2 linked regions of the Nothobranchius furzeri genome follow. The protein of the gene in region 1 interacts with the protein of each later gene in a pairwise test. Links are inferred from orthologs where the notes say so. Each region holds a gene or a part of one and is shown on either strand. Other genes may lie near its edges. The genes, in order: vbp1 and pfdn4.

Region 1 (16,504 bases):
TAGTTGGGATGCTGCCCCCGTGACCCGGATAAGCGGAGGAAGACGACGACGACCATTTATCATTGGAATCACAAGACTCCCAGCTTTCTAATGATGTATTATAATATGTATATGTACATTGAAAGACTGTTGAGAAAAAGACGCTGATTTGACGAGGACGTATGCAATTTGTACTGCACTATTACAAAAACAGCCTGTGTGACCTCATGTGACCTTAGATAAAATGAGTTATCGTTTAAAACTTGCTGAATCTTTTGGTAAACAGGGTAAAAGTGGCTATAATTTCCCAGTCTGAACTAAATAAATGTTGACCTTCGCAACCTCTGGAGCCGTTTAAGTTTCCTGTGGATCTGCTGAGTCACTTCAACTCAAACCAAACAAAGAGTTAATGACTGAAACAACACCCAGCTGGAACAAATGTTACCATCTAGGCTGTTCTAATATGCAATAACAATGATCACATTTCTTCACTTACTTTAATTCCCACCATGTTGTTCATGACTATAAAAACACTGCATGTCCTGTGACTTACTGAACCAGTGTCACCAGTGACCTCCTTCCTAATAAAAGGATAGCTAATGGAATTATTTCTGATCTGAAAAGGTCATTTCTCTTTTGGTCAAAGTCTCCAAATCTTCCCTCTGATCCATGTGGCCATCCATAGACACAGATCAGTGAGAGTGGACCACTCAGTGGAAGGATACTGACTTCAGTGGTGGTGAACTGGTCTCGCAGGAAATCCAGATCTTCCTCGAGGGTCTCCAGGTTACGAGATGCTGTGGACAAGTTCTTCTCCAGGAGGGCCTGGGCTTCGTTGATGTCATACTCCAACATGACGTTAGCCTTTAGGGGAGAAACGTTTTGGTCCTCTTTAATGTTCCATGATATAATGAGTGATCAGGTTTTAATCTAACCCAAAGTCTACAAAACACAACAGATTCGACATCATTATTTAATAAACTATAATAAAGTCAAATGAAGTCCAACGGAAAGTGGAAAATATTGATTCAATGATCATCTTCACCTCTACAAAGGTGTATTGGTCTGGAGCATACAGGTGTGTGTTAACATCAGAGAGAAAAGTGGCCTAAGGGATGGACGAAACCAAAGCAGACATGTTTAGCCATAATGTATAGCACTGTCTGGATAAAACCAACCACAGCACATTAGAACAAGCCGTGGTATCAGCTGTCAGCACGGTGGTGGAAGACTGATGGTTTGGGTTCATTACAGCCATTGAGTGGATCATGAACTTCTCTGTAGACTAAAGTGCTATAGAGTCAGATGTGAGTCCATCTGGGTCATAAACATGAACAACAATCCCGAACAGCTCAATAAGCTGGAATCTGTTGTGTGGTTGTCCCTTTGAGGTTATTTTAATCACTTCAGAAGCTGCAAACACCAGATCACCACTGTAATCGAGTCAAAGACCATAAAACCAGACATCATCCTGAGTGCTACTCACCCCTAACCATAAAGAAACTTTGTCAGTGGGCGGCACCGAGGCCTTACAGTAAACGTTGTCAGCTAGGAGGAAGTGTGTTTCCATTCGCTCCGTAGTTTCCTGTGGGAACAAAAGGTACCACAATAAATTAAAAAAGGAATTCCATTACCTATGTCCTTTAGGTCTAGGGGTAGAATCAGCTACTTCATGATTTTTTTCTTCTCAAACGAGGTTAAATAATATTGAATTCACAAAAGAAAGAAAACAACAAAAGTAAGTAAAAAAAAAATATATATATATACAGTTGTGGTCAGAAGTTTACATACACTTATAAAAAATATAATATAATGGCTCTACTGAGTGACCCGTTATTTCTAAAACTCTGATTTTTCTCTGATAGAGTGATTGGAACAGATACTTCTTTGTCACAAAAAACATTCATGAAGTTTGGTTCTTTAATGTCTTTATTATGGGTTAACAGAGAAAAGTGATCACATTTGCTGGGTCACAAATATACATACAGCAGTGCTAATATTTGGTTACATGTCCCTTAGCCATTTTCACTTCAATTAGGCGCTTTTGGTAGCCATCCACAAGCTTCTGGCAAGCTTCTGGTTGAATCTTTGACCACTCCTCTTGACAGAATTGGTGAAGTTCAGTTAAATTTGATGGCTTTCTGACATGGACTTGTTTCTTCAGCACTGTCCACATGTTTTCAATGGGGTTTAAGTCAGGACTTTGGGAAGGCCATTCTAAAACCCTTATTCTAGCCTGATTTAGCCATTCCTTTACCTCTTTTGATGTGTGTTTGGGGTCATTGTCCTGTTGGAACACCCAACTGCGCCCAAGACCCAACCTTCGTGCTGATGATTTTAGGTTATGTTGAAGAATGTGAAGGTAATCCTCCTTCTTCATTATCCCATTTACTCTCTGTTAAGCACCAGTTCCATTGGCAGCAAAACAGCCCCATAGCATAATATTCCCACCACCATGCTTGACTGTAGGCATGGTGTTCTTGGGGTTAAAGGCCTCACCTTTTCTCCTCCAAACATATTGCTGGGCATTGTGGCCAAAAAGCTCGATTTTTGTTTCATCTGACCACAGAACTTTCCTCCAGAAGGTCTTATCTTTGTCCATGTGATCAGCAGCAAACTTCAGCCGAGCCTTAAGGTGCCACTTTTGGAGCAAGGGCTTCCTTCTTGCACGGCAGCCTCTCAGTCCATGGAGATGCAAAACACGTTTGACTGTGGCCAATGACACCTGTGTTCCAGCAGCTTCTAATTCTTGGCAGATCTGCTTTTTGGTGATTCTTGGTTCACTCTTTACCCTCCTGACCAATTTTCTCTCAGCAGCAGGTGATAGCTTGTGTTTTCTTCCTGATCTTGGCAGTGATGAAACAGTGCCATGCACCTTATACTTACAAACAATTGTTTGCACTGTTGCTCTTGGGACCTGCAGCTGCTTTGAAATGGCCCCAAGTGACTTTCCTGACTTGTTCAAGTCAATAATTCACTTTTTCAGATCCATGCTGAGCTCCTTTGACTTTCCCATTGTAGCGTTTGTGGGCGTTTGTATCCAATGAGCCCTATTTACCTGGCCTAAGAGAAGTCACCAGCTGTAGTCACTCATAATCACTCACAAGAAGTTAAGAGGCCATGCTATGAAGCTCAGTTCACTGACACGTTTCTAAGTCAACAAAATTGCTAGTTCATGTTGCTGTATGTATATTTGTGACCCAGCAAATGTGATCACTTTTCTCTGTTAACCCATAATAAAGACATTAAAGAACCAAACTTCATGAATGTTTTTTGTGACAAAGAAGTATCTGTTCCAATCACTCTATCAGAGAAAAATCAGAGTTTTAGAAATAACGGGACACTCAGTAGAGCCATTATATTATATTTTTTACAAGTGTATGTAAACTTCTGACCACAACTGTATATATTAAATGGCCTCGCCATATATGACTTTCCAGCTTATATCAAAGAACACAGACTAAAATAGTTCAAAAAGGCAAAGAAAGAAGCATACCGTAAATCCTCTAATATTGGCCTGTATTCAATTAACAAGCTCCTGCGTGTCGGGAGGCAACGCGCTGTGCCAGAGCGTCGGTACTGACACCCGCCGTAAAACGGACATTTAACCAAATTGTGACGTTTACCCTCTTGCAATTTAACCTTCCCCTCACCCCATCCTAACCTTAACCAGCTTGCGCATGCAAAGCTCTGATTGTTGACGCACTCCAGACATCTGCGTCCTGAGCACGGCTACAGTAACATTATCAAATCAAGTGTCGCCACCTCAAAAACTAATTTAACACGCAATCGTTCATGTCGGCTCATTTCCTTTTATGTTTTCTGTCTTTTATTCTTTTATTTGTGCCTGATGCTTTTAGCTGCTGTGGATCGGGGTGCATCACCTGTTTTGTCCTCTGTGACGCACCGATCACTGATGCGGCCGGCAAGCAGCGAGCACTCCGCTGTTTTTGTGGTCGGTAGATCTTTTAGAACTGCAGCTCAAAGGTAACTCATAAGGTGAATATATATGAACCCAGGTAGCAGTTTCTCTTTAGGATTGAGAGGAGATGCAGGAAGATAATAAACAGACAGGACAGAAAAATAGTCAAATAAAAACAAGTTAGTTTTTGTACCTGGTGGTTGCAACAAACAGACACCATTGAAGGTAATCAGAAGTGAGGAACAGAAAATAATTATTTTAATGTTTAGAGCAGCAGGAACTCCGAGAGGCTGCAGGCGCATCAGTGAGTTTGCACCGCTGCGCAGGGGGAGAGGGCTGAAGCAGAAACTACCGTTGTTAAAAGAAATGTGTTTAACTTTGAAAATGTGGGCGCAATTCTAATTGTCAAAAACTCCAGCGAACCATTAGTTCATTTTGCTCAAATAGAAATTGAGGCCTGCCTCTAATTCTGGTCCTCCTTCCAATAAAGGCCTGGAGCTTGATGAGCTTGAGTCAAATACAGACCCGGGCCTGTATTAGAGGATTTACGGTAGCTTATTTCACCCATCCCTATGTTGTCATTCTAGAGGAACTGGAGAAGACTCACTTCCAGTATGGAGCTGGTTTACAGAACTTCACCCACCTTTTTCTTCTGCATGTGTCGTAGGATTTCTAGCGTCTGTGTGATCTGTGGAATCTGGTTTTTCAACCTATTAAATAAGAATGATTTTAGTTAAATAAATAAGCATCCAGCTTTCCTACTTTACAGATCTACCAGGTGCACACATATCAATTCATGCACGTATTAATGTAACCCGAATAACTCGTAGTGTTTGTATTTCTGTTTTACCGGAGTTTCTTCTGGGACAGGTTGAGCTCCATGTACTTATATTTCTGGTACTGCTCATCCAGCTTCCTCAGAGCAGAGTCTGCCGTCTCGTTGCCAGGCAGCTTCATAAAAGAGTCGACATCCTCCTGGAAAACAGCAAACAGGGATTAAAAAACAGAAAGGCCTATATAACTACTCCACAAATGAGACTTTCAATACCACAAAGTCAAATGTCTAAAGTCTCAGTGAGATGTGTTTGCAGCGCCGTCTGGTGGACAAAATATGAAATTACACTTTTCTGAATTGGCCTTTGTGTTTTTAACATGGAAGCACAAATAAGGTCTTACCATTTCCTAAAATACTTTTCCGTTTGTTATACCTATAAGTTCAAAGTCACAATAAATGAAACCATAAAACAGGTTAGTGAGAATTAAAACCCTAAATTAGTGTCAGATTAAACAAATAAATGTAACAAACCAAAAAAATTACAAACATTTTTATAAATACAAATATAATATAATCTTTTGTTTAAAATAAATATGATCTTTTAGCTTTTCTGTTAAAAATGAGAAAAAATGTGTGATTTAACAGTTAAGTACTTTTCACAGAAAGTTTTGATTGAACAGTTTAAATTTGATTTGACAGCATCAGAAGTAAATCGCCTGGGCACTGGTAAAAAAAAAAGTTACTGTATTCTATAAAATGGTTTGATGCACAGATAATAAAAGAAAAAATCTATTTATCTCATTACATTAATGCATTTGTTGTGTTAAAGACAAAGACAAAAGAAAATGAGAATTTCTATACTCATGTAAGGTGCTGTAATCTGAGAATGTGTCCAGGTGTAAACCTTCCTCCTGCCATGAAGAAAAATCACTGAAGTAATTAATAAATTACCCAAATTGTTAATATGATGCCGTTTATCCACTCATCGTAACCAAAGAACATCACCTACAAATCTGGTAGCATTACAAGTATCTATAATTTGATTTTTAACCCTTTTAGTCTGTCATTGGTATTTTTCATTCATTTACACATTAAACATAATGGTATTCTGAACTTTTGATCTAATTGTGACATTATTGTTCACTCCAATGCGTGTTATTTTCCCTTCATATTAGGGCTGAAAATGAACTCAATAATCAAGCCTCAATATATTGAGGTTAAGAAATGTACAATTATTATTGAAGTGCAGTTTGGTTCTTGACACTGGATAGGCCATTGTATTTGTTGTTTTGGAGACGGGGTCTACGTTATTGTTTTTGGTGCAATATTTTCTAAAAGAGTGAAAGCACTTTTATATTTATTTATTTTTTGTTTGTTTTATTTATTTAGAAGTTCAGGGTCTGGACATTCCCATGTTAAATAAAGGTTTAATTGTTGCATTTTAATGGGTGTCCTTGCATTATTATGATATATTAACATTACATAAGTGGTTATTTTGGTCTTGATAATGTCAACAATAATATCATTTATCGTCAATAATTTGTTGGACAATATATCGTCCAACAAATTCTGTTATCGTCCCAGGCCTACTTTCTATCTTTATTTTTCTGTTTTAATTTAAATGAGAATCGAATCAAGATAAATTGGCCAGATTATACAAAAATCTCACATTTTTAATACCATCTCAAAACATTAGCAAAGTTAATATCATTAGCAGATTAAAGTGGAAATCTTTCAATGTAATATTTAAAAAAATCGCTGAGCTGTGCTCGTTAATGCTCTCTATGACAGGGCACGTCAGACAAGATGCTAGTACTGTTCTGAGTAATGGACAAGCTAGTTAGCTAGCTAGCTAACTAAAGACACAGTTGACTCTGGCAGGTAAGTCCAGCTGAAGGACCTCAGAAACACCAGGTGAGCTGAATATTACAGGCAGACAGTGATGTCCATAGATGGAAGCGAGCAGCCGCCCAACATGCACACACAGCAGGACACTCTGTTAGCTCACCTGCTAACTTAGCCTCCTAGCTGAGTCAGAATTGCGCCGCTGACAAACCGGTCACACCAAATATACATTACATCCGTTACAAACATGTAACACCGTCAGAAGCGTCTGGTTATACGCACCACAAACACTGCTTCGGGGATACCGAGGTGCTTTTTTTTGTTCGCCTGTGAAGCATTGCTGTTGTCTATGGTCGCCGTCATGTTGGAGAGGCTTCTTTCGTCCTGACGCACGCGCATGCGTACAAGAAGTCGGAGTGGTAAAGGGGAAGCTCTGCTGCCTCTACTGGGGACCCACTGAGACTACAACATTTTCTGTCCTTTTTTTTTTTACCTCCACCAAGGAGGTTATGTTTTTTACAGTTATGCAAAAGGAAATCCGCTTGGATCTTATTTTGAAATTTGCCAGATGCTTTACACAATTAGCCACACTATACTCTGTGTTTGATTCCCTGTCTTGCCAGGTTTGAACTACTGATCTTGATGCATACTGGAAGCATAGTACATAAATGTAGACTTGGCATGACACTACACTTCTGGGACGCATCTGAAATGTACCGGTGTGTGCCCAGTGGAGACAAAGTGGAGACAAAAAGAGACTATGATGGTGGCTATTAACTGTATGTTGCCCTCACGCACTGAGTAGAAAGCCAGAGTTAGTGCCTTGTTCACACTTGATAAAAGAGATAGGCAGATTAATTGTGTTTCTTCTGCAGGACTGATGGCATTGCTGGTAAATGAGCTGAACTAAAAAGGTAGAGGTCTCAAGTAACTGGTTCAAAACAACAGTAGAACTCAGGGCTATGTTTACAGTGAAAGTAAGAGCATTCCCATACCAACAACGTGAAGGGAACTCAAGGGACTGCAACAGCTGTGTACCCATAAGAAAATCACTAATCAGTGAGGCTAACTGGTAAAAAAGGCTTTACTTTGCTAGGGAGCATGAAGATTGGACTAGTGGAAGGTCATGTGGTCTGATGAGTCCAGATGGACCCTGTTCTAGTGATGGGTTCATCAGGGTAAGAAGAGAGGCGGATGAAATAATGCACCCATCATGCCTAGTGCCTACTGTACAAGCCTGTGGGGGCAGTGCTATGATCTGGGGTTGCTGCAGTTGGTCAGGTCTAGGTTCAGCAACAGGATGTGCTCCAAGAATGAGGTCAGATGACTACCTAAATATACTGAATGACCAGGTTATTCGAACTTCCCTGATGGAACGAGCATATTCCAAAATGATAATACCAGGATTCATCAGATAGTGAAGGAGTAGTTCACACATCCGGAAACAGCAGGAAGGAAAATATGTAAAAGAACCCTTATTCATAATCAAAAATAAAAACTTGAATCATTAAAAATTTTCTCTGATCGGCAGCAGACACAGGCCTGCTGTGTGAGGCTAAGTAGCTCAGAACCAGACTGGTAGGGAGGAAGAGAGCATCTGGTCTGATAGGAGAAACAATCTGCACATTAACAATGAAGGTAAAAGAAAATAAAGGAGATATCATGGAAGATTTTGTACCTATTAAATGGAAAACTTTAAGATGTAATGTTAATAATTTAGGTTGACTGGATATCTTGATACGTGTGTGCAGAGGTGGGAAAGGAGTAAACTACTTGACTCAAGTTTAGTTTGATTTTTTTTTTCCAAGTTTCAAGTTTATTTATATAGCGCCAAATCACGACAAGAGTCGTCTCAAGGCACTTCACATGGTAAACATTCCAATACAGGTCAGTTCATTAAGCCAATCAGATAAACGTTTCCTATATAAGGAACCCAGCAAATTGCATCAAGTCGTAAAGTCAGTGATTTTACAGCAGGGGTGGGGAACCCTGGTCCATCGAGGGCCACTATCCAGCATATTTTAGTTTCAACCCTGCATTATCACACCTAATTTCAATCAGCAGGTGATTAACAAGCTTCTGCAGAGCTTGATGAGCTGCAGAACAGGTGAATCAACCACTGAATCAGAAGTGTTGGAGCAAAGACATGCAGGATACCGGCCCTCGAGGACCAGGGTTCCCCACTCCTGCTTTACAGCAATCCTCACACTAAGCAAGCATTTAGCGACAGTGGAGAGGAAAACTCCCTTTTAACAGGAAGAAACCTCCAGAGGATCCTGGCTCAGCATAAGCAGCCATCCTCCACGACTCACTGGGGATCGAGAAGACAGAGCAGACACACACACACACACACACACACACACACACACACACACCAAATAATGTTTCTATGGTTACATTGTGATTTTAGTAAATATCCTTTTTGGTGAGATAAACTTTATTGTATTTATCCTAGTGAATCTACTTTATTGTATTTATCCTAGTGAATCTATAATTAGACAGGCAAACTAGGAGTAGCACATTCAATGTCTGTTGTTCAGTCATGCACTTGTAGCCAACATCATTTAACTCATCAAAAGATCTAAATGAATCACTCAGACCTGCAACGTGAACATAGATTTTATTGATAAATGACTCGCATTAATATAGTGCCTTTCAGAGTCCGAGGACTCCAAAGTGCTTTACACTACAGTGTATCATTCATCCATCCATTCACACGATGAGCTGAGATGCAGCCACAGCTGTCCTGGGGCACAGTGGCGGAGGCGGGGCTGTCGATCACAGGCGCCACCAGTCCCTCCACCAGCAGACAGGGTGGGTTAAGTGTCTTGCTCAAGGACACAACAGCAGCATTTTCTGTCCGGAGCCAGGATCAAACCAGCAACCTTCCGACTATTCGACAACCCGCCTAATCTCCTGAGCTACTGCTGCCCCCGTTATTGATCCCACAGTGGGGAATTTCACTAAGGCAGCACACACACTTAGAGAATTGGGGGGAAAAATGATACAAGCAAATACACATGTGGCTGAGGAGAGGGAAGTCTGGGCCTCTTGACTTGGGCTGCTGCCCCCGCGACCCAACTCCGGATAAGCAGAAGAAAATGAATGGATCGCAAATCTACCTCATCAGCAATTAAAAATTAATATAAATATAAAAGTAATTCATTGCTACAAAGGGAATTCCATTTTCTTTAAATTATGTTTTTATATTTTGTCTGATCAGAAATGTTCAGAAATGAAATACGGGCCATTTAGTAAAAGTCCTCTAAGGTCCACATGCAAACTGTATGGAGATTAACAAAGTGCCCATTTGAATCAGTGTTCAACTCGAAATACTTTTTTTTAGACTAGTAATATTTTATATATATATTTCTACTTTTTCAATTTAAGATCAATACAATTTCTGATCAATCCGTTGCACGATTAATGGAGCTCAAATCTATAATATCTTGTGAGTATTTCCAACAGCACTTCTGATGCATTAAAGCCACTCCTAGAAATCTCTTCTACCCTCTAGTGGCAGACCTAAGTACTGCACAGTTGGACATTTTACTACCAAATTACAATATTCACTTTTATGGTGACCATTTTATTAGTTTATAAACTAAATTGACTGATTTTATGTTCTAAAGGGTTAAAGAACACAGGCATCACAGACTATTCCAAACAAGTTTTATTTGTAAACAAGCACATTTCATGTCAGCTGCATGAGGCTCCAGCACATGGTTCAATAAGCGAATGATAGTTTGCATTTTGTATTCGAGTTTCTGACTGCATACTTTCTGCAGGAGCAGCCATCATCACGTGTGCTGGACAACAACCTCATTAAGATGCAAAGCACACAAAACTCCATCTGACAGCTGGTGCTGATGCAAAGATGTTGCAAATCAAACTAAAGATGGATGAATGGATGATCCATCACTCATTAACCATCAGTAATACCTCATCTCTGCCTTCACACAGTATGTGATACGGCATGACAGTTCTGTCTATTATAAACTGTCTATATTTAACACACTCAGCTACTGTTTTACATTCACACATCTATATTTATCTATATTCGTCTTTAAACAGAGTGTGCTCTGTAGAGGACGTCCTCCTGCTCCAGAACACTTTAAGGCTCCTGACTAACAGCTGTGATCACTAGAGGGCCCGTGTTCCTCCCTTCATCTAACACCCCTGGGCTAAAGAAGGGGAAGATCTTTTCAGAGAACAAACACCCAGAGAAGGTGTAGATGTGGGATCTGGCCTCCACGTCAAAGAACGAAACCGTCCTTTCCTCATAATCTGTAAACACCCCCACAGTCTGAGGCATTTCCCTGAGAGAGAGGAGGACGGATGGGGAGTCCAGAGCTCGGTACTCGTTACCGTTCCTCAAACGCACCGTCCAGTAGCCGTTCTCCGGCTTGGTGGTGATCATGCCTTTCCTGTTGACGGATTCTTTGACCACACCCAGGTCCCAGAAGGTCTTTTTCCCCACAGCAACCTGATTTACATTCAAACAGATCGTCAACATTTCACTTTCCCGCCAAACGTGGAGTTGTTTAATCTGTTCAAGGTCTACCTGAAAGAAGAACCTCCCAGACTGGAAACCCTTCTTTCCCAGAACGCAGATGACCGGGTCGAAGCGTTGGGGCTTGTCGGGAACAGCGTGGAGCTGCTCACCTCGGCCAGCCTGCTTCCCATCAGCTGACAGGACGATGTTTGGATGGGCCGTATCCGGGTCCAACTCCACATCAACTATAGAAATGAAATGCAGTTCTGGTAATACTTCCACCCAAGCCAGAATTACTTCCCACAGCACTTCCCGTCAGGAAGGCTGAATGGTTGAACTAAAACACATCAGGAGCAAATTAGCACCCAGGTATTTATGTAATGTCAGCGTTGTTCTTACCTGCATGTTTCTGCATTCTTCTCATCTCTGTTAAAACAAACATAAAAACACAGTTCAGATGGATCCAGGAGAGCAAAACAAAATTTCTTCTGGACTTTTAAGGAGAAATAAACATCAACGTCCTGACCAAAGCAGTGGCTGTTCCTTCCTTTACCGGAACAGCACACATAAGGCATGTTCATTTGTTGATAGTTTCCATACAAATAATGTTTTAACTGTAGAAAGTGCATAATTCCATTAGTCAGTGGTTAAACTGTTAAAAAAAAAAACGAATCGGATTCCTAAACCAGTTCCAGCTGGAGAAATAAAATTGTGAGAAAACACAAATATTCAGCTGGAATCGGACAAAATTGTGACGTGCAAGCTTTATCAGTTGGTTTCATCTACGGCCGTGTAACAGAAGATTTAATTCAATTTGGAGGAGCTTCACGATCATCCGTGATGGATGTAACAGATGTACATCATCTGCAAAAAGCTCGTCCACGAGGTTCCCAAACCAGATCCACTCTTCTCCATGAACACCAAAAACAGGATCAGACACAAAAACATCCCTACTTCAATACAGTTTTTGTTTTGGTCAAACAGAGCTGGACAGCCATAGCCCAAGATGACCCACTGAGCAGCTCTGCAATATCTGGCCCTCTGTTCCATAACCAGCATGAAAGCCCAGTGCTTCTTTTGAATCCAAACTGTAACATTTAAATTTAATGTATTTGCAATTTCATTTCTGATCGTCCCCTAAATTTGTCTCACATTTTTTAGATGGGTTCAAGCTGTAAACTAAAGGTCTCGTGACTATGTTTTAGTAGGAAATATGCACATTTTGTAAAAGACGTACATGTTTAATAGACTCCTCGTAAAGATTTTGTTTCTTTACAACCCTTCTGCCTCTCCATTGGTGAGGATTTTGTGCAGGCCTTGACTGCACCAACTGGCTGTTCCTGTGGGTGCAGACAAAAATCCTCCTCAGTGAAGCTTCAAGCACACCACCTCCAGAGCTCCTGCTCGGCAGTTCGTTTCAGGATTTTAAACAGCTCTTTACAAGTAAAAATAATCTTAAACACCGAAATTTGTGTTCAGTCTTCATTTTATGTTGCGGTTCCAGGAGTTTGGTCACAAGATAAATAGGGGCTTGTCCGGGATATTTATCCTTTCCGTTTTTGGTCAGAGTATTTTGCATTGATTTAGGCCCTGTCCACACGTAGCCGGGGATCTGCCAAAACGTAGATATTTTTCTACGTTTTGGCCTGTCATCCACACGAAAACGGATCTTTTTAAAAACTCCGGCCAAAGTGAAGATCTGCGTTTTCTCCGTTTTGGGTGTCTGCGTGTGGACGGACAAAACCGGAGTTTTAAGGTCCGCAACGTCACTTTCCGCGACAAAAAATGCTGACATCACGTGTGCGACCTGTGTTTACACTAGCCGGCATCATGGAAGCCCTCAGAGCTGCACTCTGTCACTACCCGATCCATCAATTATCCAAGCGCTTTCTGCTTGTTTGTTTTTGCAAGCGGAATTACTGATCCTTGCGGAAGACCACAGACGAAGGACGAGGTTAAGGACGGGGGAAGTACTGCCGCCTACAGGTCTGGCATGTCCTTAACAACGTATTTATCCGGGTACGTGTGGACAGAGTTTTTTTAAACGCGGTGGTGTGGATGCAAGTTTTTGGAGGGGCGGTTATTCGTTTTTAAAAAACCCCGGCTACGTGTGGACTAGGCCTTAGTCTGTGTACAGTCAGCTATGTTTGAGGTGGAAGAATTTTTAGCAGATCCGTCTCAGTGAGCCTGCTGAGGGTTGCTGCAAACAGGACTTGGTCCAGATTGCGGATCACTTCGAGCTCCAGGTACAGTCAGCAGTTCCTTTGTACTCATTAAATGCATATAATCATGCATCTTAACATCCGGTCACAGGTGTATGCTACCTTCTTACAACACTAGCATAGCCAAGACATAACATACGTGGGACTTATCCGAGCTAGAGGAGGGGCAGAGGGGTGTAACAGTTTCACTGGGTCCAACATGGTGGACAACATTGCCACCACATGGTTGCGCTGAAAACTACAACTTCTCATCTCTGAATGTCAATCTGTTCAATATATGAACAGCTCCAGTCCATCCCAGTGACAAACAGCCAGTCACACATTCACTCACACCTACGGACAATTTAGAGTCTCCAGTTAAACATAAACGTGTGTTTTTGGTCTATGAGAGGAAAACGGAGCACCCAGAGAAAACTCTCATGCCAACCCCTCGCTGGTGGGCTTTGAGTGATATCATCTACGCCACATGACATCTGTGCACGTTAAATACGTGATTTAAAAAAATCTTTCAGCAGCCAGAAAATAACAGGAAAAAATAGTTACCAGGAATAAAACTAAACTATAATAACCAGATCTGATTTACCGTAATCCTGGATTACTTAGGATGAACACTTATGATCTGTTTCATTTTATTTAGTTTACCTTCTTTCTTCAAACAGAGCAGCTCATTCTTCAGCACATGGTCCAGTTTGGACAGAGCTCTCCTCACGGTCCCCACACAGAGCTCAGGGTGGATGCTGATATCTGCCCACTCCCTGGTAGGTGGAGGTGAAACCAGAGAGGGCACGCTCTGCAACAGTAAAAGATTTCCTCCAGAATCACACACACTGTCCTGATGAGTCTTTCATCACATGCAGAGACTAACCTGTAGGAGGTGCAGGTGGTCCTCGGTGTCCTCCAGCTCCTTCAGCTCAGCGTTTCTCCTCTGAAGCTCGGTGATTTCCAGCTGCAGCTCACTAACGAGCTCCTCAGCCCTCCTTTCTTCTGCTTCCTGCTTTCGTTCGATCTCTGAGTTGACTTCAGATTGTCTCTCTTTGATGGAGTTGATCAGGGATGTGAAGAGACTGTTGCTGGCGGATTTTTCCTTCTCGGCGCTCAGCTGGGGGAGAGAAAATCAAATCAAATCTACAGACTGTAACCAGCTAATGACAAATTATTTTTTCATTCACAACTTACTTTGCTCATTTTTAGGCAGTTATTGATCTCCTCGATTTTCTTCTGGTGCTTCTCGATCATGTTTTGAAAATCAACCTCAGTCTGCTTCATTTGGACCTGAACACAGAAAAGTAAAAGCTTGTTTGGTTTAAAACAAGGGTCACCAACCTGGAGTCCAAAGGCCTTTTCTCCAAATAGCACAAATTGCTTCCACCTTTTTAAAATCTGAAAATCTGCATCAATAGATTTAAAAACTAAAATTTCCTTTAAAACATTAACATGTGTTTATTAAAGTGAAGTTTAGTTAAACTCTGATCTAGTCTAGTTCAAGGGTCCCTATTGGATCAACCTGGTAGCCCTTCATGTGGCTCACGTAGCCCTCAGCTTCACTGAGACTGGTGACCCCTGGTTTTAAGCGATTAAACTAACAATCTGACATTTTGAATAATTACTAATTTAGGGTTAAAGGACCTTTATTTTTTTTTTAATCGCTACTGTAAATGAAGCATTTGTTAACAAGAATGAGTAACCGTTGAAAAAAAAACAGCCTTTTCCATTTTTTCGTTTCCTATTGGGGATTTCCAGTAATACTGGCCTCCCATCATCATTAGTCAATATTGGTGTTCAACTAATATCAGAAATTAACTTTTACACACCATGCATGTACAAACATTTCATCATGCATTTTGGCCCTTTCTGCTCATTATGATGTCTAAATGACATATGAGGTCTAATGAGATTTATTTTTCTTTGGCACAACTGGTCTAACTTTAGTTCAGCTTTAATTTGCAGAGTAAAGGTTAGGGTTAAGTACCCATGATATGTGATGTTAGTTACCTGAAATCATTTAAGTTAGATTTTTCTCACAAGGGGACAACCTGCACATATTGGCATTGGTTTGTTGGTCTATAGGCTATATCAAAAACTGAACAGCTCTATTTCAGGTGATAATCAAAAGCTTGGTGACTTTGATGGAAAATGGCCGTTTTAAAGGTGTGTGTTGTTTCTTTATTCCACAGCTGTAAGCTAGCCTTCCTCTGTGTACCTTCCTCTCTCCACTTTCTTCCTCGATCCCAACAGCCTGGTGATCTTTGTGTTCGGCCTCGGTGCAGAACCGACACACGCACATCTGCTCGTCCCTGCAGAACATCTCCAGCAGCCTCTCGTGGTGCTTGCACATTCTGTCTTGCAGGTTCTTCAGCGGTTCCATCAGCGTGTGCAGTTTCAGGGTGGCAACTCTCCTGTGAGGCTCCAGGTGAGCTTCGCAGTATGACGTCAGACACACCAGGCAAGACTTCTGGGCCTTGACCTGCTGGGAGGTGGCGACGCACACGTCACACACCACCTCATCCGGTTTGGCTGCAGGCAGCAAAGAGGCAGAGGAGAGGACCATCATTTGTTTAAATGTCTCCGCCAGCTCTTTGAAGGCAGTGTTGATGCTCATGTCAGGTCTGGAGGCGAATGACTTGTTACAGGTGGGACACTGGCAGACATCACTGCCTTCCCACGTGTTCCGGATGCAGGTTTGGCAGAAGTTGTGACCACATGGAGTGGTGACTGGGTCGGTGAACACTTGGTGGCATATGGTGCACTGGAACTGTTTTTCTGGTAGCATGATTCCTGAAAGTGCTGTAATCTGCAGAACGAGAAATTATTAGCTCAAGGAAGAAGGTGCAAAAACACCAGGAATCATTCTGGAGACGCGAGTCATCATGTTCCCCAAACCAGACACACCCAGGCTTTACCCAAGATTAACATGTGACGTAACATGAGACGAACAGAGAAATGACTGGTGGTGAAGTGTGTTTCAATGTGCTCCAACAACCTAGAAATACATCAATTAATTAGTCTAATAAGAGCTTTGATCCAAATACGGCAACCAAATGAAACACACTTCCTTATTTGCTGTTTTAGAAACAACTTGCAATAGTTATGGGTATTTGAGTAACAGTTATTTTAATGTCAAGCAGATAAATTCATCTAATAACTTAGGGTCATTCAATCAATTCAGTTCAGAATATTTATGAGTGATAACTCGTCCTGCACCAGAAACAACAAATTAAGCCCTGATGATGATACTGTCTCCCCCATGTTTCACTGATGAATGACAT
Region 2 (16,539 bases), on another chromosome or scaffold:
GAACTGCAATTTTTGGTACTTCCGGGTTGGGACCAATTTTAGAGCCGCATTGTGGGGGCTTGGTTTGTCTCAACACAGACGGAGAAGTATAACCTAGGCTTTAATAACGGGGCTTTGTTTTCTCACAGAGCGCAGTAAAAAACGGCACTTCATCTGGTCATTGAACACAACATTTTACACCATACAGCTGCTCACGTCCTCTGAATGAATGAAAGTACGAAACGCTTCGACTGAATAAATGGTTAATAATTTTAACGTTACTGATCAGTGTCATCACTCACAGTCAAAGCAGTCGCGATATGCTGACGTTTGTGCAAAGTTCTGAAAGGGCTGGATTTGAATGCATCAGCTGAGAGGACTGGGACATCCTATCACCTGGTCAATGTTCCCGTTGCAGGAACTACCCTGGAGGTCCGGTAATGGAAAAAGGGCTATTGTTTTGTAAAAACGTCTAATAAAATGACATCAGTGCCCAAATTTATTAACCGTCCTAATTTTGTTTAAGCAATTGTTGCACACTTTCTGTAAATCCTATAAACATTGTTTCACCTCTCAGATATCACTGCGTGTGTCTCCTCAACACGTTCTCACTCCCAGCGCGTCAAAAACAAACGCTTTGTCAGCCACCCTCCACGTCGGACCCCTGACGCCAAAGGGCCCTTTTTCGTTACTTATGTGCGAAAAGGGGTTTTTCCCTTATTTGACTGCAGATCCCAATGCAGCGTAACACTGACGCGATGGGATGTCCGCAGCCAGGGCACCAAACAAGCTCATTGTACCGCACCTTAACCTTATCCTCTTATTTAACCTTCCCCTCACCCCTATCCTAACCTTAACCATCTTGCTAGCGAACACGTTAGTGATGTGTCGATCGTTCTAAAAGCCTGCTCTATGAAGCGAAGGGCGGGAGCCGCCTCGTCATTGGTCGGGTTTGGACCGAGCCAACGCGAGGGGGAGGTTTCAACTACCACGGTGGAGGTTAAAAGTAGAGGGTATGTGTAACCTCCCCTCGCCAGATGGTATGTTCTAACGTTCCCCTTGGGCGGCAAATACGAAAATTCACAGTCAGACTCTGACTGTCAGAGTCAGAATGCATGGGAAACAAACGCTTGATCACAGTGAGAGTAACGTTTTAGGTAGCAAGAGGGTTAAGGTTAGGATGAGGGAGAGGGGAAGGTTATAAAAAGTGAAACGTTAAGGTTTAGGTGCGGTTAAACTAGGAAAAATTTTGCCCAGTGAAAATAATGCCCCAGGGTCGGCCCTGGTTATAACGATATTGTTATTACTTCTCTATTCCTATTATTAGGTGACATTTAACCTACTGACAAGCTGTGTGACCACTGGCAACAATAAATATGCCATTTTCTTCCCAAAAAAAGTATATAATTGAAAAAAAATGATATAACATGATTCAGAGGGACTTAACTGATAAAATGATATGCATTACAACTCTGAAAAAAATTTGGGCACAAATGGGTTAACAAGGCTGCCCAAACGTTTGCATCCCGCTGTATCCCAGTGCGTGACTTAAAATGAAACGTTTAGAAAGTAAAATACCCTGGATGATTTATTTTTTTCAAATTATTCTGAAAATTTGTTCAACGTGACATCCTCTTAGTCTGCCATAGGCATCATGGGATTTGTGAGAAAAAAATTTTGCTGGAAAAAATGTTGAAAGCGTGCAGTATTTATCAAATTTCCTACAACAGTTTGTGGAATTTTTGGAGACAATAGCCCAGTTGTAGCCTATTGCCCGCACACTGGGGTGGGAGTCGGATTCCCTAGTTTGGACTTTGTGCAAAGGCTGCTGCTGAGGGACTTCAAGCAAAGTCTTCATGAACGCACCAACGCTTTACAGCCTACTGGTTTTATTGGAGGCATCATACTCACAAAAGGCCATTGATTTGAAAACAGAAAACTGGAGAATTAGCACTCTTTGTTTTCATGGATGCAGACTCTGTATGCCTGGTGTTACTGCCTTACACATGTGTTCAGTAAATATTTGATCTTGGGTGCAGTCCTGTTTGCCTTTTAAATATGCACAGAGCAGCAGTTCCGGTTTAAAAATCTGTTTTGATAGTCAGGTGAACGTTCAGATAAATCACCTGAGATAGGCTAATAGTTCTTTAATCAGTCATGTAGAGATTAAAATCAGCATGAAGACCTCACATGTTGCTGCCATTTAAGCTGTCTGCCCAATTTCTCATGCATGTATGTAAAGTAGCATGCAACTCTTCTCTCACCAACCCTTCCCTCCCCTGGGCGGGGTGAGTGGCTCTTCATCTCTAGCTGGGGTTCTCTACCAGAGGCGTGGGGCCTCATTTATCAAGCTAGCTCACGCACAAAATGGGGTCGAAAACTGCGCGAGCAACTTTCCACAGAAACTGTGGGATTAATGACAGAAAACTTAGCGGAAAAATGTGCACAACTTTAAGTTAACTAAGGACCTGGCTTACGCACATTTTGGACATGGAGAGCACCTGCAGTGCTGCTGCTGAGAAGGATACAGTTATGAAATCCTGCAGCATTATCACTTGTACTGCTTCGTTTTCACACGGAACAAGATCCCCCACACGCACGCACACTCACACACGCACGCATGCACACACACACACACAGCCTGAAGCGCAGAATACGGAATGCAGAATATCAGCAGGGGGACAGATTGAGACAGAGTGTGTCCTGTCACTATAACCCGATTGATCGTGCACCCTGGCTACTTGGACAAGGGAGATCTCTGTTTGGGTGACTGGTTAGCGCATGTGACTTTCACCTGGGAGCAGGGCTGGACTGGGACAAAAATTCAGCCCGGGCATTTTGACTGGAGACCGGCCCATCACCTGTTTTTTTTTGGAAAAGACATTAAGCCTTATGTTGTTTCTGACACACACCAACGTACACTTTCTTATTGGTAGTATTTATGTATCAATCTAATAAACGTAAACCTACACCATCCTTCCTATCCTGGTATTCTAAAAAGTAGGGTTGGGGGTAACTGATTATTTTTAAAATGATTATTCTGACGATTATTTTATCGAATAGTCGACTATTCTAATGACTATTTAGATGATTAATCTAGTGATTACTTTTCTATTGCACAATTAATAAAAACCAAAAAATTCTCAAATAAATTCCTCCAAAAAATTGATAAGTTGTTACTGTAAGAGAATAAACACTACAGGCCTTCCATTTTGTATAACACTGCTTTTATTGTGTTGCGGTTGTTTATGTTCTGGTGACGTGTAGAACTTGGGAGTGCAGGCTGCTGCCTGAGAGGTGGTTGGAGACGGAGTGTCTCCATGCTGCTTTGATTTGTTCACTTATGTGCATGAGGCAAGTGGTGTTACGACCCTTCCTGGGGAGTCACGTGTTTCTCCTATTTTAACTGTAAATCCTTCTAGCTGTTATATTTATAACAAGAAACAGATATTCGGACGGAATATTTTTATGTTTATTCGAATATGATTGTGGAACACACCCGGCATCATAATAAATGAAGTAATATTTATGCCAATTTAAGCCTTTATGGGTGACCAGGACTCTGTGATCAATTTTTGGCAAGGGAAATTATCATTTGTTGCCATTTTTTAGGTGTTTATGAATGTGGAAGACACCCAGCATCCTGTGATGGCATTAATAACATCAAGAGATAATAAATAAAGTAATATTTAGGTAAATGTAACCCTTTACACGTGACCAGGACACTATAATCAATTTTTGGCAAGGGAAATTATCTTTTTTTCTTTTTTTTTTTTTGCCATTTTTGGGGTGTTTTTGATGACACAGTAGGCAGTATGAGTACAGTAACGTCAACAGATAATACATAAAACGCTTATTTGGTCAATTTCAGCCTCCATGAAAATCTTAGCGATTCAATCACTTTTTGGCAAGTAAAATGCCATTTTAGCTGTCTACAATTAAATCATCAATAAAGAATTTAAAGATATTTTGATGCATTTCTTATAGGTAAACGGGAGGGTGTAGTCTATTTGGCACGTGACAATCTTAATTTTATGTGCTGAAGTGCTTTTATCTTGTTACTTTTAAATAGAGCAACGTAATGAATAGCAACCTACACAGTGTCATTGTAAAGCCAAAGCTTGATCATTTTAAATACTTTTTTTCAAGTAAAAATGTGCCCCAAACTAGTTAACTGTGGCTCCATGTCAAGTGGACTAAAGAAAGGAAGGGGAAAAAATTAAATTGCTGGAGAATTGTTTATTTCCATTTATACAACGTTTACATTCAATACAGGGTGCCATTTTACATTGTTTATTTATTTTTTTAGTATCAAGGCTGTAACATAAAGAAAGCCAGTTCTTACCACAAAGTTTGTGGCACAAACCATCTTTCAATCGCAAATATTGCAAAAAGGATTAATATATCCTCATTGTGAACGTTTAAGACAAATAGCAACACTTAAAACAACTTCCGAACTGGAAAAACTAATGTGGCAAGGTGCAGAAAGGAGTGCCCAGGCGGGATTCGATCCCCAGACTCCCGGGTGAGAGTCATACGCTCTAACCAGTCAGCCAAAGAGGCATCTCCTTAGCCCACTAGCCAGGGCGCATGATCAATCGGGACATTGTGACAGGACGCTCACACAGCCGCATCTTCCTCCCTCTTTCCACAAGGACGTCCTCGTGCTCCCGCGCAGGGTGCCACCAACACTGCCACACTAATATCCGCGATAAACATCTGTTTAAGTACCGAAAGAGGTTATCTTTGCTTTCTGAATGTCCATATTGCTAGATATGCCGAGTTTTAGGGCGAAATCCTGGGGAATTTTGTCTAGAAATGCAATTACCTAACCGTGCGCGATCCCGCGGTGGCTAATCATTTTTTGGCAGCGAGTCAATTTATGGCACAACACCGGCTCGGGTTTCTCCTCCTCCTCCCTCTTTTCTTCTCCAACCTGTCGCTGGGCTGAGGCTCCATCACTTCCTAAATTGATTTTACTTGAACCTTCACTACCAAACAACTGTGAGATTTTAACACATGTGCCAGCATCAGCCTGAAGGGCCAGTTTCTTTTTTAGTCGAATTTTCTCCGCTCCTCCTTTCCGTTTTTTGTTCTCCATTTTGTAAAGCTCGTCTGTCTGTTTACTGAGATTCACAAACAACTGGCGGGTGCATCAGACCTCTGGCTATTGGTCCAGCCCAGAGTGTATTATTACCAATTGGCCAATCCACCAACTTTTACGAGGCGTCGCGTGGGGTGGCGCGGACAAGTTGTCCGCAACAACTAGAAGCCAGGAAAAAAAACAAAACAAAAAAAAAACAGACACCGGCCCATAAAAGATGAAAGGGTCGGCCCAGCGGGCAGTTGCCCGCTATGCCCTATGGTCAGTCCAGCGCTGCCTGGGAGTCTGGGGACTGAATCCTGATTGGATCATTTTTTTATATCAGCCACAGATCTCTCTGAAGAACTCAGCATTGACGGCTTCAGCAACGCTGTGCCACTCCGTGGATTTTCTCTTATTTGTTTTGCAAAAGTACTTCCTTACATTTCTCCACCTCACCCACAGGTACCTCAACTTCTGCTTGTGTGTAATAGCGCTTTCTTGATCTGCCTTGATCTACGGTCGCCATGTCATTGGCGGAGCGCTGCAACAGCCGGCTTATGTATACGCATGGGATCCACAAGGCACTTTGCATTGACTATTTATGGCAGTAAGTGGGCGTGGTGAGGGCGGGATGTGACTAAAAAGCAGCTGAGAACCTATCTAGATAGTCTCTGATTTATGAAGTTGCAATTGCGTGCAGCTGTGTGTACTCCATGTTTGATAGATCACAAACCTACTTGGCATAAGTACTTTTTTTTTGCTGAGCTTAAGTACGGTTTTAGTAAGGATTCTACACAATGTTTGATAAATGAGACCCCTGGCAGCTTGAAGGTTCTTAGCTGGTCCTAGAACTGCACTCTTCCAGACTGAGTTGTCAGATGTTTGTCCAGGAATTTGTTGGAACCACTTCTCTAGTGTGGGGGTCTCTTCAGAGCACTGTATCATTGTATCATCATTGATCTGTGTCATTATTTGGTTAATAATACTTAAAAAAGACCACTCTGTAAGTATTTGTATTCAATCTTTGTCACATGCGCACAGCATGTAATGCTGAAGTGCTACCGCCAGGTGGTGGTGTCGCAGCGGCTCTCTATTGAGCGCTGCTTTCTGACAACAGCAGAAGAAGTCAAGATGGCAGCTACCGTCATGAAGAGTCCTGTTGTAAGTTCGTTTTTAAAGGAATTTTACGTTTTCCTGTAATTAAATTCATGCGCCGCTTTAGTCGCAGATATGAATGGAAACAGCAGAGGAGTATTTGATGTCAGAAGTCACAGTTTTTGGGGTTTATTTTAACCATTCTCACCACCCGTTCATGTGAGTGAGTGGAGCTAATGTAGCTAGCACAGAGGCTACAACCACCCTGCCGGGCAGCGGCTGAAGCTGACGACGGTTTATCGGTTTGTCACTAACCAGCTCTGTGGGAGTCGACCGGACCTCAGACCCGGTGCGCTTGTGAAATGTTTAGTTATTTACAATTAACGTCATCTTCCGGTTTGCAGGCTGTTGAAGACGTGGTTGTCACGTTCGAAGATCAGCAGAAAATCAACAAATTCGCCAGAAACACGAGTCGGATGACGGAGCTCAAAAATGAAATCGAATCAAAGAAGGTGAGTTTGGTGTTTTCTGCTGAAGCATCCTCGTTTCCTGTAACCTTAACCCGATGCTGGCTTATTTCAGGTTTTTATCCAGCCTGGGTAATGTTGAGTAGATTTCTTACATCTGTCAGGAACTGATCGCAGTGTTTGTTGTTTCTGGCTGGCTAAAGGAAGATCAACATGACTTTTTAAAGAGTAAACTCAGACCTCCATCAGATGGTGGCTTTGTGGCTCAGAGGCACACTGGTAGCTCTAACCTCCAGAACGTCAGTGCCTACATGGAACAGTTGCCACTTATGCAGATCAACACCGGTGGGGTTTGACTTCGGCAGTTTCCTCTAAAATGCCAAAGTCATACACGCAAGTTGATGTAGAACCCTGTTATTTAATGTGTAAGGAGTCTGATGTGTCCTGGAAGAGCTACTGGAGCAGTCAGTAATCTATGAACTGCCCTCACCGATTGCTTTGTGTGTGGTGTCCTCTTTCAGAGAACGCTGCAGAACCTTCAGGATGCCAGCGACGACCTGATGCTGTTAGACGACGACACTCTGTTGATCCCCTACCAGATAGGTGGTGTCTTCATCAGCCACTCCCAGGAAGAAACACAAGAGATGCTAGAAGCTGCTAAAGTGAGTGGATCCACGTAACTCAGTAACTCGTTTTGCTCTTCTCTTAAAACATCAGAGAGAAAACCGAATTCAAGTCGCTGTGCAGCTCGAAGGTGTCGAAACAAACCCGGAACTATCGAGGTTAGAGCTGAGGAAAATAATCGATGCATCGGGATGCGGACATAAACGATTCTGCATCGTAGAAGAGTACGCCATCATCGATTATAGTGGAATGTAGTTTTGTTTTTTTAACAGCGGCACCAGCGCAGCGTCCAAATCTGTCAGAGTGAGCGTCCTCCACATTTACCAAGTGGTTCCGCCTTAATGTGGTTCTGCAGGGCTGAGCGCTTGAGTTCTAACCTGAGACCGAACCGGAACCGAATCAGCCCGACTAGTTCTGTTGGATTTGGGCCCTGAATTACGTCAATTGAGTGGGTTGTCACACGGCGCGCTCCGCTCGCACAGCAACTGAGAGAGGGAGAGAGAGGATCGGAGGACGCTCCTCCAAACCGATGCTCCAAACACGCGTTATTATTTTCATAATTTAATTATTATTTCTCCTGGAAGCGCTCAGTCAGACCGAGTGTTGTGATGCTGGGAGATCCGGTCTTGGGGAGGGGGCGGGGTCAATGACGGTGGCTGCAGCGTGATCGTCTTTTATTTAGGGACACGGAGAAATTAAGAGGAGAGAGATAGAAGATAGAAGTTCTTGTTCCACTTTATTCTTTTGTGTCATGATGATAATTTGATGTTAAATTCAGCTTAAAGAGAAGCTGGGAGGAAGCTTTGGTTCATTTTAAGTTACAGGAGGTCTTGTCTCCCATCTGCTCCTCCAGAGACAGCATGGACATGAGGGTCACATGGTGAGGGTCCCACAGGACAGGTTAGTGGAAAGGTTAGTTAGCTGGTTAGTGAAGGAGCTCCATCAGCTGGGTAATTTAATCCTAATCCAGCCCACAGCCTTCTGCTGGTGTTATTATCAGAAAGAATAAAACACACATCTTAAATATTATTGGAAGTGTAGAATTTGTTTTATGTTTTATTATTTTCTGCATCAAACAGAACTTGATTCATTCTCCAACATTTCAGAAATGAACCACTGGGTTCAAATGAAATTAAGTCAAACATTTCATTTGGTGTTATTTCTGACACCCTTCAACTGTGGCATAAATATCGGACTCTAGAGCTGCTCAGAGACATTAAACACTCATATATGAACCCATTATGGATTTTATTATTACGTTATGTTTCCTGTAGGTTTTCAGTACTTTTTTAGATTTTGTGAGTTTTTGCAAAGCGTGTTCTTCTCAGCCTGAGGCGTGGTGTTGAACGAGGAAACAGATGTTTTACTTTGTTAAATCTTCTTAAATGTTTAAATGTTTTGTCCTAACCTGTTGTGAATGGAGAGATTTTGAGGGACAGCAGGTTGTGTCGATTACGCTTTTGATAAAAAAAACATAAAACTAAAAAGCAATTATCTGACATCTTCCATTTATCGATGAAAACAAACTAATATGAAATAATCGTGATGCGGGATGCAGCTATCGAATATTTTTGTAATCGAGTACTCTATCGAATCTTTTATCGATTAATCGAGTACTCTAATAAATTACTCTTTTGTGTTTTTAAACCATTATATCAAATAGCATGTTATAAAATATGAAAGACCTCTTGAAATGAGAAAGCAATTGCCAGTTATTCTTCAAGTTTTATTCAAAATTAGTTTTCAAAACTTCAGCACTTCAACTTTACTTCACAGTAAACAAATGCGAGCGGCTGCGGCCCAGACAGAACCAGAACCGTTCACGGCGCATGCGCAAACATGGCTCGCCAGCTGTTTCCCTATTAACACACGTCCGTATTAATTTCTACTTTATTTGTCTCACACTAACAAGGATTGTCGAGAAAGCGTGTTTGCCGTGGTTTTGTCAAATTATACTGATCACACAACATTTATTTACTTCCTTTCGTTTTCCTCCGCCACTCATAAATACCCGTGTCCTCCTGCAGCAATCCCGAGGGACAACGGACATCGACAACAACACAGTAAAAAATCGGCGTGTTGTAAAAACTGCTATTTTTAGCACGTTTTAAGACCGACGTGTTGCTACCAGACGTACGGTGTGAGCTGAAACTGAGCGCTACAAATGAAAACGTCGCACAGTGTCTGCAGAATATATAGAAATACAGGCTAAAATGCATTATCTTGTAGAGGCTCGCTTGCAGAAGTGACATTTACATGTGGATGTTTCCTGGTCAGGTGCTGCAGCATGGAGGATGTGGTGTTGTGGTAGGCTACATCCATTTTACAGTATTTACACTGGACTACGTTTTCCGCCTTACGACGTGAAAAATGGTCCCACAACTTTGACATTTCCTGTCTTTTTCACCCTCCACCGGGGTCCACGTTGTCCGCCATGGCTTAAGAGAAAGTTAAGTTGCGTTCGCTACTCGCGTGTGCATTCAGTGCAGTGTGTATGTGCGTCACTTATCTCGGTCCGGGTGAAACATGACCCCGGGTGATTGCAAAGCCATGAATTAATTAAACATGAATGAAACGAAGCTTCGAGGCAGAGAATTTGACTCGAGGATTTTTTGTACTCGAATTATTCGAGGTACTCGAGGAATCGTTTCAGCCCTAATCGTGATGCATCGGGATATCGAATCGAATTGAATCGTTGACCCAATAATCGTAATCGAGTTGAATCGGGAGACAAGTGAAGATTCACACCTCTAATCAAGGTTCAGTCCCACCATGGAAACCGTATGAGTACCAGTGTCTCTGTCCACAGCGGAGGCAGTTTACATCAACATGAACTCAGAGGACCAGGAAAGAAACTCCTTATGCAAAAGAGACAGAATATAAAAAAACTATTTCCTCTCGTCGGAAGGGACAACAAATCTCACCACAGCCATTTACTTTCATTAAACGCTGCTACACCGTGGCTTGTTTTCTGCATTCTCTCAGTAATGCTGCATGTAAGTGAGACCCCAGTCATGTGCGGCTCAATAACAGACGATTATCAGAAGGTATTCAAATTTGGCACTGAAAAGGCTCATCAGTAGTGCCTACCAAATGTGTCAGAACTCGGCTCTACTCGTAACCGTTTTGGTGGTTAACTGAAATGTGGATCTTCTGTCAACAGGAAACTCTGGAGCAGGAGGTCAAAGGCCTTGAGAAACGCGTGTCAGCGATTCAGCAGGTGTTGGGTGATCTGAAGGTCCAGCTCTACGCTAAGTTTGGAAATAACATCAATCTGGAGGCTGATGAGAGCTAAACAGTTTGGAATCTGACAGAGGACGGACTTTTACTGGTTTCAGAACTTGGTTGATGCCAACAAAACATGTTTTCTGTTTGCTCTCCTGGCTGTTGTTTACTCTGATGATGCGTTTACCTGCCTCACAACATCAGGAACTGTACAGATTTGGTCATTAAATGAATCCGTAACATTTATTTGTTCATGTGCTCCGTAGTTTTGTTACTTCTGTCCATCAAACTGAAGACACAGTTTCCAAATCAGATCAATAACTGGTTTTATTATGAAATCTTTAGGCTCAAATGTCACAGAGGCAGGACTAACTAAACAATCTTCCTTTTATTTATAACAATAATAAATAAATGGATGAAAACATTTATTTTAACGTCAGTTTTCTTTTTGAAACACCTTATGAACAACTAAAGCTGCAACGGTTAAAGGAAAACCCAGAACGGTTTTAAGCTTCAGGACCACTTTAAAGCCAGGCTGACAGAAATCATGATGCTAGCTCCACCAGAATTACACTCCAGCTGGGCTTTTATGTGCGTTTGTTCAACAGCAGAGGCCACTGTTGGCAATCTGGATCAAGCATTCGTTTTACGTGTCAAATCAGATTCTCAGGTCTGATTTCAATTGAGGAACATTTCTAAAGTACGTTGTGGTCTCCTAGCCTGGCGAGCCAGTCTGTCCATGACCCTTTGACGGCTCTCAGTGGCAGGGCAGAATCTACACTGCTACTGGACAACCGACGTTACGGACTCACCGCTGCGGATGTCGGTCAACAGGGCAGTCCGCCACACGCTGTCGCATAAGATGAAAAAATGCTCCAAAGATGATGCCAAAACGGTTTCACATGAGCCGTCGCCATCTTTGTTTCATTCGATTACGGGGCGAGCACTTAACTCCTGTGCCACCGTCGCCCCATAAAAATAAATGGTTATAATGATAAATGGTTGTTGGGTTCTACGCCCCCCAAGGTGCTTTACAACTTACCAGCCATTCACCCACCTACATTCACATGCTGGTGGTGATGAGCTACATGGTAGCCACGTGCTGGGGCCCACAGACGGAAGCAAGGCTGCCGTAAACTGGTGCCACCGGTCTCTCTGACCACCACCGGCAGGCATGGATGGTAAAGTGTATTGCTCAAGGACACAACAGGGATAGATGGGACTCGTACCTGCAACCCTAAAGCACTTAACTCTTCTGTCACCTTTGCTCCATCCTTTAGTGTCATTACTCTGGGATGTCTGGAACACCCGTGTTATTGGACTAAAACGATCTAGCTCACAGATCATCTGCAAATGTTTTCCCAAAACAGCAAAATTCTTTTTTATTTCACAAGGATTTTTATTAAGACTACGTTTCTTACGGTTGATTATTACAGTAATCGAGTAGACTAGTGATTATTTAGAGGATTAATCAAGCAAAGTAATTAAAGACATTATTTATGTTTATTTATTTGGCAGACGCTTTTATCCAAAGCGACTTACAATTTATAACCTATGGGGCATGTTGTGATCTGTGAGGGAAACCAGAGGAAACCCACGCATGCATGGGGAGAACACGTAACTCCACGCAGAAAGGCCGCCGCCGAGTTTCGAACCTGCAACCTTCGTGCTGCGAGGGAACAGTGCTAACCACTGCGCACGTTAGACTGACCTGCAGAGCAAAAGCTTTTACTACTGCTACAGTTCACCTAGATTTCTAAGCTACCCTATAGCTGACTTTAAGCAAAATATTCCTTTTCTTGATGATGAAATAAAAGTTTGGTCCTTAAAAATGCAGAAAATGCGTTTAAGTGCAAGCAAACTCTTCAGTTTTGCAAAAACAGGATGAGAAAAATTACATTTCAGTGATTTCACCTTTTATAAAGGTAAATAAGCCCAAAACGAGGCATAATAGTGAATATCTCAAACAAGGAAGCAGACTCCTATAAAACATGTAACAGCAGTTATTAACATCCACAACGTCTCGTGTGTGAGCTACGTAACTCATGCTAAAGGAGCATGTGGTTGATAAGGAGGAAAGTGAGCATATCCATGCTCACCACTGGGCTTCCCAGGGCTTTGATGCAATGTTTCCTGCTCTGGAACAAGTGCTCTGATGGTACAGTAGAGGTTATGGGACATGCAAGCACAAAAAAAGAAATAAATATGGCGGACGAGGATTTGGATTTGCATTGCTCTGTGAAGCTTGCTTCAGTCACCTTGCTTTCTGATTGGCCACATTTTTTTCTTGGGGCAAACCACAAAATGATGTTGGGTCAACATGTTTATTAGCCTGGGTTTATGGTCCGTGGGGCCCCAGCGTCCTTCTGAGCAGACCAGAGTAAGAACTACGTTTTTGTAGCACTTATCACAGAAGGAAAGATCAACAAAACAAAAAGATCATAATGTGAAAAACATCAAAATATCATTAAGGAAATGAAAGAACTGACAGTGTAAGAGTGCTGTGCACTGAGGTCTATTCAAACCCATCCAGTGGTTCAGAAAACCAGGGTTGACCCCAACTTCTAACAAAGGTTTTAAGGAAAGAAGTTCAACCTGAACCACATGATGAGAACGACTCACCCATCTCACCTCATTTCAAATGAATGTCTACAAAACTCGTAAAATTACAGCATTTTCAGCTATTCAAGTTAACTTTTCTTCTTTTTCTTCTTCTTTCATTTTGATTAGCTGTGGTGGCCATGTTGGATTAGGCCAGTATTTCTCAATTACTTCCCTTCCATTAGCGAATATGCATTTTTTTTTTGCCCCCAAGTGCATCATTTCCCATTATTTCTTAATTTTCTTATCTAATTTTGTGACTTGCCTTAATTTGTATGTGTGCACCATTCCACTGATGAAAATTCCTGGTCATGTGAAACTGCTCACTTGGCAATAAAATGATTGTGATTCAGATAAGAGCTTAGCTAACCAAGCTACCCACAATTATATATTAGCAGGTTAATTAGATTGTTCTTTTACTCTGAACAGACCCAGGTGCAGGGCATGCACACAGGTTTATGCTAGAAACACCTGTGCACAGGTGCATTAGTTGTAACTGATATTTATTCTTATTGTGGAGCTGTAGTCATTTTCCCAGCAGTTAGTTTAATGCTGGACTGAGAAGGGAAATCTATTAAATTAGCCATTATGAGGCCTTCATCTTATTTTGTAATGTTCTTACAATTTTCTTTCTGGTAAACAGGCATAGTTGCTCATCCTGCGGTGACTCCACATGGGTTTGGAAAGTGAAGAGACCCACCCAATATGGCGGTGATGGTGATACACCCTCCAGCACCCAATGAGGCATCTGTTTTCATTTCAGGTTAAACAGGCAGCCTGTTGAATAGTCTGAGCACTGCTGCCACCTAGTGACTGGGGGTTTAGCATCCCCAGCATGAAAACATATACAAATTAAAGCTGCAAGCAGCGTCGTTCGGCCCTCGCAGCGAAGATGCTCACCCTCCTTCCGCACCCCCTCCGCTCCATCCCCGATGCTCTCCAAACCCAACTCCCCGCCGCTCCGTCCTGGCCGGCAGCACGGGGCACCAGGGCACGTCCACGGACTGAAACGTCCACCACCCTGACACCAAGAAAAGCTAACAGTCACCTCATCCACACCTCACCCTGAATCAGCATCCCCTCCGAGCCTACCATTATATTACATGTCTCACCACTAGGGCATACTTTATCTTTAGCACACTGTTGGTGTGATGACACAGACCAACTTTAGTGCTTTTTTGCCCATATTTATTAAAGTTTTCGAAAGTTAAAGTTATCTAGGGGGCGCTGTGATCAATTACAGAAAAATCCCATTGAGGTCAGCTTTGGTTGACAAGGACAGTTTTCTGTTATTTTGGCATCAAACGGACGTTGTGTGTGTTAGCTAAAGCCAGTGAGCTGAAAGGGGCGGAGCTACAGGGATTTGAATCAACAACCACATCAATGTGTTTGGTGCAGTCACGTGATGTCACAAGCCAAGTATAATGCCATTCTGACTTTGACTTTAGAAGTTAATAAAGTTTGAACCCATCTAGGGGGCGTTGTGACCATTTACAAGTAAATGCCATAGAGGTCATCTTTGGTCATCAAAGATGGTTTTCTGTTAATTTGGAATCAATCAAACGTTGCATGGGTCATCTAGAGACAAAAAGCTGTAAGTGGGTGGAGTTAAAGTGAATTGAACAAGTGATCACATACATGTGTTGATTGCAGATGTGTGATGACTCCCACAATGTTTGATGTAGTTTGGAACTTTTTTGCAGAAGTTACAAAGGTTTTTTGTATCTAGGGGGCGCTGTCCCAAATTTAAGAATTATTCCATGAAGAAGTTTGTAGGTTGATGACAGTCATTTGTGTGCAGTTTGGTGTGAATTGCATCATGCATGTGTTATTAAGGGCCTAATATCTGTCAGGGGGCGGAGCTAAAGCAATATCAACAACTTACCACAGGACTGTGGTGGGTGCCATTGTGTGAGTACACATAGCAAGTTTGGTGCAGTTACGACCTCGTCTGTAGGAGTTATTACAGTTTTAATGGTGTGTAGGGGGCGCTGTGGTGACATTACACAACTTTCACCAACGGTGTGTGCCTCGTTGAATAAAGGGCATGATTGTTGATTGCCATGTTCAGTCTCGGGCAGATCGGAGGTTGTTAGTGGAAGTTACAGTCAAACGTAAGGTCACGGCGTCACGCCAGAATTCGCCGTGGCATCAAAGCCCTTCCCTTTCTGAAAAGCTATCAGATCTGAATGGTCATTACAACATCATGAAGACAGTGCATGACCTTAGTGTCATGTTGACTAAAGTAGAGGGGACAAATATGGGCATTTCACCATTAAAAAATAGACTTCCTGTAGTCAGGGGGCGGGGCATAGGTGATGTCAGCTGTCCACATTGTCATTGTCTTGAGATGTGGTCAATGATCACACAGACGGAGTTTGATATAGATCTGATCATGCACATGGGAGTTGTTAAGTCAAGTAATGTAATGGCGAAAGGTCAAAGTTTGAGGCTTAGCCACGCCCACACCTTTATACTTGTATAAAATCCGACGGTTGAATTTTTTCCTCTATGTCTTAAGATTATATAGCAGGAGTTTGAAGGTGATAGGTGGAAAGGACGACGAGACATCATTCTCCTAATAACGTGTGTGAAAACCACTAAATCGAGTAATTGGACCAAAATGGCCGACTTCCTGTGCGACTTTGCACTTGGCTCAAAGAGACTTTTTTGTAGGTCCTGAGACCCCACATTAGTGTACCAAATTTCGTACTCCTCAGTCAAAGCATGGCTTGGGGCTGACAGTTTTAATGGACCTAGGGGGCGCTATTTCAGAAAATAGGCCACGCCCATTTGATGTTCACATGAGATCTTTTGGGGGGCCGGACTAGGATCACTCACAAGACGTTTCGTGACTGTATCTATAGAAATGACGACATGGGAGGCACATGTATGGTCACGGCGGTACGCCTGACTTCGCCGCGTCGCCACAGCCCCGCCTTCTGCAGAAAACACCCATAAAGTGACGTCAAGCAACGCCAACTTCTCTTCAGTTACCTGCTACAAATTCGGGCTGATTATTCGACAGGGCGAATTTTGGAAAATTTCCCAGTAAAACTTGACGTTTTAAGTCCTGAGGGGGCGGGGCTTGTGTGACATCATCCAGCGACCATTCATTTGTCTTCGGGGGGCGATGACGATTATCCATAGAAAGTTACTTTAACTGTAATTCTTTCATTTGTGAAATTATAGCAATTTGAATTTTTTTGGCGAGTGCTCGAACTTTGAGGCCTGGCCCCGCCCCTTCAGTATTTACGAAAAGTCAATTTTATTTTCTCATTTGAAGCGTCCATCGCTTCTGTTCGATGGCACACTATTTTTGAGACTATGGTACGAAAAATGACGAAACTGTTCAACCAAATATAGACCCTAGAAATGGCCAAAACGGCTAAAAATCGCCATTTCAACCCAAAATGGCCGACTTCCTGTTTTATATTGACCATGGTTGCAAGAGGCTTTTTT

The links.
Region 2: the proteins of vbp1 (region 1) and pfdn4 interact in binary tests that used the Homo sapiens proteins (3 or more experiments, as listed by UniProt). The link is inferred for Nothobranchius furzeri from reciprocal best matches to the Homo sapiens genes VBP1 and PFDN4.

What each region holds. Positions count from the first base shown.
Region 1 is NC_091742.1:80,076,400-80,092,903, forward strand, and holds the start of vbp1 (prefoldin subunit 3), read right to left. Parts: upstream 6,959-16,504; 5' UTR 6,921-6,958; coding exon 6,804-6,920; exon of another isoform or gene 6,685-6,803; intron 4,877-6,684; coding exon 4,752-4,876; intron 4,612-4,751; coding exon 4,545-4,611; intron 1,565-4,544; coding exon 1,466-1,564; intron 844-1,465; coding exon 705-843; intron 1-704. Other genes in the region: E3 ubiquitin-protein ligase TRIM39, read right to left, coding at 10,636-11,007, 11,086-11,261, 11,416-11,442, 13,881-14,028, 14,104-14,337, 14,415-14,510, 15,439-16,029. UniProt on the Homo sapiens protein: Binds specifically to cytosolic chaperonin (c-CPN) and transfers target proteins to it. Binds to nascent polypeptide chain and promotes folding in an environment in which there are many competing pathways for nonnative proteins.
Region 2 is NC_091755.1:40,017,786-40,034,324, reverse strand, and holds pfdn4 (prefoldin subunit 4), read left to right. Parts: upstream 1-6,097; 5' UTR 6,098-6,112; coding exon 6,113-6,226; intron 6,227-6,564; coding exon 6,565-6,672; intron 6,673-7,148; coding exon 7,149-7,289; intron 7,290-10,414; coding exon 10,415-10,546; 3' UTR 10,547-10,904; downstream 10,905-16,539. UniProt on the Homo sapiens protein: Binds specifically to cytosolic chaperonin (c-CPN) and transfers target proteins to it. Binds to nascent polypeptide chain and promotes folding in an environment in which there are many competing pathways for nonnative proteins.